2 linked regions of the Oryzias latipes genome follow. The protein of the gene in region 1 interacts with the protein of each later gene in a pairwise test. Links are inferred from orthologs where the notes say so. Each region holds a gene or a part of one and is shown on either strand. Other genes may lie near its edges. The genes, in order: tpm3 and hsf2.

What was found.
Region 2: the proteins of tpm3 (region 1) and hsf2 interact in binary tests that used the Homo sapiens proteins (3 or more experiments, as listed by UniProt). The two-hybrid records come from large-scale screens. The link is inferred for Oryzias latipes from reciprocal best matches to the Homo sapiens genes TPM3 and HSF2.

What each region holds. Positions count from the first base shown.
Region 1 is NC_019869.2:21,739,307-21,743,888, forward strand, and holds the start of tpm3 (tropomyosin alpha-3 chain), read left to right. Parts: upstream 1-1,509; 5' UTR 1,510-1,620; coding exon 1,621-1,734; intron 1,735-2,327; coding exon 2,328-2,453; intron 2,454-4,582. UniProt on the Homo sapiens protein: Binds to actin filaments in muscle and non-muscle cells. Plays a central role, in association with the troponin complex, in the calcium dependent regulation of vertebrate striated muscle contraction.
Region 2 is NC_019882.2:10,661,197-10,664,788, reverse strand, and holds the end of hsf2 (heat shock factor protein 2), read right to left. Parts: intron 3,186-3,592; coding exon 2,904-3,185; intron 2,475-2,903; coding exon 2,372-2,474; intron 2,182-2,371; coding exon 2,115-2,181; intron 1,573-2,114; coding exon 1,250-1,572; 3' UTR 525-1,249; downstream 1-524. UniProt on the Homo sapiens protein: DNA-binding protein that specifically binds heat shock promoter elements (HSE) and activates transcription. In higher eukaryotes, HSF is unable to bind to the HSE unless the cells are heat shocked.

The sequences.
Region 1 (4,582 bases):
ATTATGACATTCCATGCCCTAACCAGAAGAAAGTTGTGATGAGGTCCAGCAGGTCAGGACCAGAAGAGTATATTAAAGTGGAAACTAGAAAAAAACGGCTGTAATCCACTCCATTTATGCTCACTGTTGTCTTAATTCTAATCCAACAATGTCCCCATCTATTAAAAAAACTTTTCTTTAATTACAGAAAACAAAATATAGCATATTCCTATGTTTTGCATAATTTCATCAACTATCGTCAAACTAACAGAACCATTAAACACTTCTCTCTGTAGAGTCGTCTCCACCAGCATGGCCAAGCTGCAGACATTCTTTTGTTCTGATCCGTAGGACAATGTCAGCCAAAACATGTTTATTAATAACCCAGCAGGGCTTAGACAGGAATAAGCGACACATTCACGGTTGTGTATTCCCTGGAGAGATCCCGTTATAGTTATCCCAGGGCATTTGGCACTCAAGCACACAGTTAATGTTTCTCTTGGCATTGTTTGCAGCTCCTTCTTCTTTCATCCTATAAGACGCTGTCACATTTTCAAATAGAGTTAAAGGGATCATAAAAAAGAAAGAAACCCTTCAGGTTCAGTTTCAGTTGAATTGACACACACCAGTAAAGGCTGCGGTCTTGCATTTGAAGTTATTGTTGCTTCATGGAAGACATTTCAAACACCACAATTAGGTTTTTGCTGTGGTGGGGGCATAGACTATTGGAGCCCCTCTAAAAACAAGAGTGGTTTTTCTCCTTAACAATATTTGCATAAACTGTACGGTTATAATAAAGCTTTCAGTTATTAATCAGTGCATAAATGAGGGAAGGAGTTTAAAGCAATAACAATTCTAATATTGACACCCGATGAAAAGGCAACACAGAATGTCAGGGACAGAATATTATGAGGAAATCTCAACTGAACTGCCTCAATATTTTTGTCAGAAAATGAAAGGGAAAAATGATTTTGACTAAAATGAGGTTTTGAACTTTTCAGGTTTTATCTGGTTCCTTTTTGTCTGGGAGGGGGGAAAGGGGTGTTACAAGGTAGGTAATAAAAACATTTTTGCCAAAAAAGTTTGATTTCTCAACTCACTTTAACAGATGTTTACTACAGAAGACCGGAATAGCCATGTCAATTTTTTTCTCTTTTCTCGAGATAATAACCTAAAGACTCATTATCATGAGAAGAAAACACCAGTTTTCTAAGGATAACAGAATAAAACTAAAACTTATCTTGAAATCTCGAGAAGACAGAAAAAAAATTATTTTAATTGGAGATTGCTGAATGTTGTGTGTGATTCTCCACAACCCTGTAAGATTACTCATATTCTAGATGGAATAAATACAACACAAAACAGGAATAACAAATGTTTGAACCTTGATTTATGATGGAAAATGGCAAAACACACGTGCTCTTTTAATAAATGTTGGACAGAGTTCTGGGACAAATGGGTGTAACGTTACCCACTTTGTCACAAAGGGTGGGATTAAAGAAGGAGGAGCTAGGTGTCTGCTATATAAAAATATCTTGAGTGAGTTTGGTTCTTCCACCAGCTTAGACAAGCTCTAGAACCTGTTTTAGACAAAATCCTCTGTTTGTTTTCCCTGTCAGCTTCAGGAACCCAACAGCCAAAATGGAAGCCATCAAGAAGAAAATGCTCATGCTGAAGTTGGACAAGGAGAACGCACTGGACCAGGCAGAACAAGCTGAGGCTGACAGGAAAGCAGCTGAGGACAGAAGTAAACAGGTGGGTCATGGCAATCTATAATGTAAATACATTTAAAAGACCTACAATTATCTAAAAAGCACAACATTTTTTTTGGAAAAAGCCATAAAAACCAACAATCACTGTTAACATTTTAACTCCCAGCTCAACAAAAAAGTTAAGCACATAGAAAAAAAAAATTGTATTTTAAAAATTGTTCTGATCACCGACCCCAGACAATGATTACTAAAGATTTACATTTTTTTTACTGATGGGGTTGTTGGAAGGTTAAAAAAAAGCTCCAGAATTTAAGCCTCCTCTACTTTGAGGGTAAATAACAAAAATTGTTTTCAGTCACTGTTGTCAATAAAGATAAAGTTAAAAAATATGTACTACAACTTCTTAATTTGGGGAATAATAAAGTGTCTTTGAATAAAACCAGAGGTCTTAAACTGAAAACAAAATAAAAAAATTCTTAGAGGGTAAGAAGAATTGTTTAAACATAATATACAAGGGAGTGTAATAACATAGGGCAATTTCATATGCATTAAGTGCAGCTCAGTATATCAAAATAGGACTTTCTTCAGGTTACCTGCTGTGTAGATGATTTATTTTCCTTGTCGGTTTGTCTTCAGCATGAAGATGAACTCCTGCAAATGCAGAAGAAGCTGAAGTCGACGGAGGATGAGCTGGATAAATACTCTGAGGCCCTGAAGGACGCTCAGGAGAAGCTGGAAGTTGCTGACAAAAAAGCAGCTGATGTGAGTAATCATGCAACACTAAGCTCAGCTGCTGCACATAGGATCGTTAAACTGAGAAAGAACCGTAAAATACCTGAATGTTGTTTTTTTCCAATTAAATAAACCCACTTTATATTATCTCTGCATCTTTGGTCAAAAATGATCAGTTTTATATCATTTTATAACATAATAAACAGGAGGTATACCATTGGAAAAAACCTATCCTCTGGGTTTGGGATGAGCCATGTGTGAGGATGACATGAAAAGAGGTTTTGCATTGTTGTGCGGTGAGAGCCCGGGGCACAGACTCAGACAGAGGCAGTTGATGTGGTTCGTCCCAGCCAGGCCTGTCCTCCTGTGCTGCATTCCCAGCATGCCTTGCCTGCCTCTCACAGCTGTTGGTGGGATTTAAATCCTGATTTCCACTATGATGTCACCATCATAACCTTGAGTGTAAGCCTCACAATAGTTCCAGTCTTTTTTTGGTCCTTCAGCCATTCCTGTCAGGTCACTTAACAGTTGTTTTAAGTCTTCAGTCTTGACACTCTGTATAAACCTGACGGAAGTGTTTTGTTGGCTTTTTACAAACAATATTTTATAATTTCTTTGTTAAAATCTTCCAAATTTTAAGAACAAACTACCTTTTGCAATATTATTTGTAAATTCTAAAAATCACAATAAATACAAACATCTGTTTAGGCTGTGCTCCACTTGTCCCGAGTTGGGATATGCTGCCATTATCAAAGGATAGATGAACATTTCTGATTTAAGAGCAGGAGTAAGCTTGCAAACCTTGTAAAGCCTTTTTTGTGAGGAACAGGGAGCGGGTAGTGTTTCACTGGTTCTCTAAGCAAATACAAATCAGGCAGCTCTGAAGGCTCACCAATTTCCATGTTTAGATGATGCTTAGTTTAAGTACCTCCTTGATGTTGTCGCATCTCTTGCCTGTGTCTCCACCCTCGAAGGGGCTGCTTTGGTTTTGACTTGTCGGCCACCTCCTCTGCCATGCCTCAGTCTGCAGAGGACCTTTGCATTCCTGCTGGCTGCAACCTCCCCGCTTCATCCTCTGTTTTCCCTGACTTCCCCAGTTTCATGCTCCATCTGCGTTTTATCTTAGGCGTACACTTTAAGAAGATCTGGAAGCCATTTTGGCATCTTTAGAAATGCTTTGAGAAATCTATGATTCAAGGTTGATACTCAGCGACAGCTGTGTGTTATTCCTCTGTATAAATCTTACACTGGCAGCTGTAATTGGAAAATAAACACCTTAATAAAGGTGACAAAGTCAATAAGTATTCATCAGCCTCTAATTCTATCCATTGTCCCACTTACTAAGATAAAAGAGGTCAGTAATGTTAATCATACATTCAATGAGAGAAAGAATGAAACAAAAAATATTCCAAGAAATCAAGTAGTATGATTTTTAATGAGTTATTTGTATGATGGTGCTGAAAATAAGTATTTAGCTCCAACAAACAGGCTAGAATTCTGTCCCACAGAGACCTGTGGCTCTTCTTTCCTGTATTAATGTCACCTGTTTGAACTTATTATCTGAATAAAATACACCTATTTATTCCCCTAAACATTCAGACTCCAACCTCTCCACCATGACCAAGACCAAAGAGCTCTAAAAGAGACAGCCCTTTAAATATAAATCCATTTGTCACCTATTACATAAGAATACTAAAGCTATAGAAAAAGTCCAGTTCAGATCCAAAAGTCTTTAAATAATTCTTGCATCTTTACTCCTGGAGGGAGGTGGCAACTGTGCTCCAGCAACAAAGAAGCAAACCCCACCGGGTTCATCGGGCTGGGAGCTCCTGCTGGATCCATGTTTGGCAAAGTATTCTGTCACAAGAATGGGCAGACGGCTGGATCCAAATGCAGCATGTTTATTAGCTCAGCTAAAAGTCCACAAAGCTAAATCAGGGTCAGGCAGGCAGGAGTCAATAAAGAGCATGGCAGCATCAGAGAAGAAACAGAAATAGTCAGGATCCAGGCGAGATTTGGGGCAGGCAGCAGGCAAACAGAGTGAAAGACAAGGGTCAGGAAATCAGAAGATCGGGTCCAAATACAACACTCGGTAATGCAGGCAGAGTGGCACAAACAATACTTCACACTGAGTGAGGCTCAGTGCTTAGGTGTACTGT
Region 2 (3,592 bases), on another chromosome or scaffold:
GGAGTTCACCTGCTTGAAAATGTGTGGGAAATAGAGAACCTTAATAATGTGAATGCTTTGGAGCTGTCACATAAAGAATGCTTTAAAGGTCCACTCAGATTAAAATCATTTAGTGTTTTTTTTTTCCATGTTCTTGTAGCATTTTGTCATAGACGTACACAAAGAAAATTAAGCCAAAACTTGCATTTGAGGTTTTTTTTCCCCTTCAAATTGTGAATCAGGAACAGACGTTAAAATGGAGTTAAAAAATGAGCTTATTAATTTGTGACGTAGAAAATAAGTTGGGCGGGTCACAAACTCCCTGATCTGCTCCATTCTGAAGCTTCCGCTTGCAGAAAAATGGATCCATGTACATCTTTGGTTTCTCCGTCTGAGCTGGAATCTGGATCAAAACTGTTCGGCTGCATAGCTCCAATACTGCTCATCATTTTTGTTGCACTGGTAATTTTAGGCTGGGGGTGTAAGCTAGCATGTAAACAGAGAACTCTCAGTAATGGAGAGGGAAAGGGAGACACCAGAAGAGAATCACTAGACATTAACTTTATTTCAGCTGCATGGTTTCATCGGTCGACACAGAAACCACCGTACCTCACAACGTCAGCCTGACTCAGCGGAGGCAGCATGAAAAAAGCTGTGTTCCGGTTCATTGTTTACAGAAATCAGCAGTTCTACCCATCATGTCATGTCAAAGAGGTTCCAGCCGTGTAGAAACCTCAGCTGCTGTCACGACGCTCCTCAGCCGCATCTCTGCAGGAGAATTTCCCTTCCCTCCCGCTGCAGCTCTGCAGTGTTTGTGCATGGATGGGCCGCTGCAGAACCTGAGCTAAGCTGCCGCGCAGCAGTTCAAAGCAAACTCCTCTCTTCTGAAGGAATGCTGCTTTATGAAATGTTAGCTTTGGAAGGAAATGTAGCAAAAACAAACAAACAAAAAACAACTGGAAATAAATAAATGTATGTACAAGGAGGAGACTGCACTTTTGGACCAAATATGGGCGGAGAGAAGGAAGAAATGGGCCTCATCTTCCTCCTCTGGTGCTGAACACAGAGGTCTGCTCCTCATCTCTACGTCTCACAGAAATTCCACGAGAACACAGGCAGCAGTCGGAATAATAAGAAAGAAACTTTGTGGTGAGGTGCTCCCCCCTCATTTGAGCTGATGATAAGTGCTGAAGGAGGGGGGGGGGGGGGGGGGGGGGCACAGAGTCCAAGCAGGATCTGATCCCAGCAGGAGGACGTCCAACAGATCTGCTCATACTTGGCTCAGTTGGGCGGAGTCAGTCTCAGGTGCGGCAGGACTCAGCTCGCACAGGTAGAAGAGCGTCTCCTCGCTGGCCTCCGCCTCGGTCAGCGGCTCCAAGCGGATCAGGGAGCTGCGGCTCGGCTGCTTCGGCTCCTCGTCAGGGTCCAGGAGCTCTGAGGGCAGCTCTACAACGCTGCCAGGGCTGGAGGGGGCCTGCAAGCACGAGTCTGACCCCACTGGAGTGTTGGAGTTCAAATCCAGATCTGGGGGAGGGGCACAGCCATCTAGGAAAGCCAGCAGGGGGCAGCAGGTGTACTGGATCAGCTGCTTATCTGAGGAAAGGAAACAAGAGTTACAGATAAATGATCAAAGCCAGCCATCAAGCTAATCATCTCCATTAGAGTCTACACACATGGACCAACATCAGCTTCCATTTATGCTGACGACACACATCTCTGTGTTATGCTACATTCACATTAGCCTTCAATCCAACCACAGCTTGCAATGAAATGAAACGTAAACGCGCATTTCCTGCTTCCACGCTCAGAAATCTCACGTTCATGCAAGCCCGGCTGGAATCACACGACACCCAGTCTTTCAGATACTGGAATAGAGCTGTGACAGAAAAAGTAGCGCTAGTGTACCGAGTAGCAACAGACCAGTGTGAACACCAAATGTTAAAAGCACGTTCAAAAACCCACATTCACTGTGTTCTTGAATGTGTATCCTGTGCCCGGTGTGAGTGTGTAGCATCACAGAGCCTACCGATCATTAAGAGCTCACTTATACACGTGTAAGTGGACATTTTGATATAAAAATATAGACAGGTTAGGATTTTAGCGGTTTAAACCAAAACTCAGGCATTCTGTCTTACCGGTGTTGTCCTTCTCTGTCTTGCTTCTGACTGGCTCTGTGTTGCTGTCCTTAACTGAAACGCTCTCCTGAAAACAAGGATTTTTTACAACAAGATTAAAATTAAAAGACTAGAGAATAATTTATGTCTAAACTACATTAAATACTTGAAAAACACCCACAAAACCTTTCCTGGATATCTACCACACAATGTTAGAAATCCTGCACTAAGAAAGATCAGTCTAAAGATGTTTGAGGAAGAGGATGAAGGGGCATTACCTCAAGGGCCTCAAAATCAAAACTGCACTGTTTCTCATAGATCATGGCCTGAAAGTCCTCCAGACTGCAGTCAATGCTGTCCAGATAGTCCATGAGCTCCAGCCTGAAACACACAGACCAACAGTCAGTGGGCCGAAAAACAGCACCCTCTGCTGGCACAGCGGAGCCTGTTCATGTTCAACTGCTCGTGACTTAAGAGATCTTCCACAACGGTCAAAACAAAGCAACGTGACCCAGCTGTAAACAAGAAGTGACCTTTTCAAATGCTGAAGGAGAAATAAAAAGTGACCAGCTCTTTGAGAGAAAAACAACAGAGCCTGAAAAATGCTGCACCCCAATTACAAACCAATACAAACTGTTTACAAGAAGAGAGCTGCTCCAAATGTACACAAAAACTGATCCCCACCCAGTGTAAAAAGAAAAGGATCTTCCTCAGCTGTGGTTGGGGAAGTGGCCTACCATACCTGTAAACGGAAAGTTATATACTAGAGCTGTAAACAGGAAGTGGTCTGTTCTGGGTCATAGGACTCACTTTCCCAGCAGATTGATGTTCTGGGAGATTGCTCCGTTCTCGTTCATGATGGAGTCCATCATCTTTACGGGATCCTCCAGACTCAAACCGGAGGGTTTGTTGAGCAGCAGGGCGTTGCTGTCCATAGAGCTGCTCCGCTGGATGGTGTCCGTCACTGCGGTGATGTCGGGGACCTCTTCCACCTCCGTCTGTCGGAGCTCCTCTGTGCTGGCGGTGCTCACTTCAGCCTCAGCTGGAATAACCCCACAGCTGTCCAGGTCCACCTCCACAATCTCCACCTCACTGAGGAGAGCATTGACAGGGACAGAGCTGTTCACCTCAAACTGATCTCAATTTAGGACAGATTTGCTCTGCTAACACATGAGCAGTTCAGGTTCCTCAAGACTATAACAGCTCATGTCGACTACCGTCACGGTTGAACTTTTTACACAATTGACATAATCCCAGTGGCTTCTGAAGCGGAGAAGAGCAGCTTTGTGCTGATATTTAACACTTTTACAGTAGTGAGGTGTTTACGCCGTCAACATGAACCAGCTGACTTTGTGCAGCCATGCCTAGAGCTGTGACGGTGTCGAATTTTTCATCACCGCGGTGATGAACCACCAGGGGGCGCGGTGTCGCGGTTAACCGCAGCAGCACCCCCCCACCCCCCCCCCCCCAAAAAAAGGAAAAAAACACAAAATCCCCCA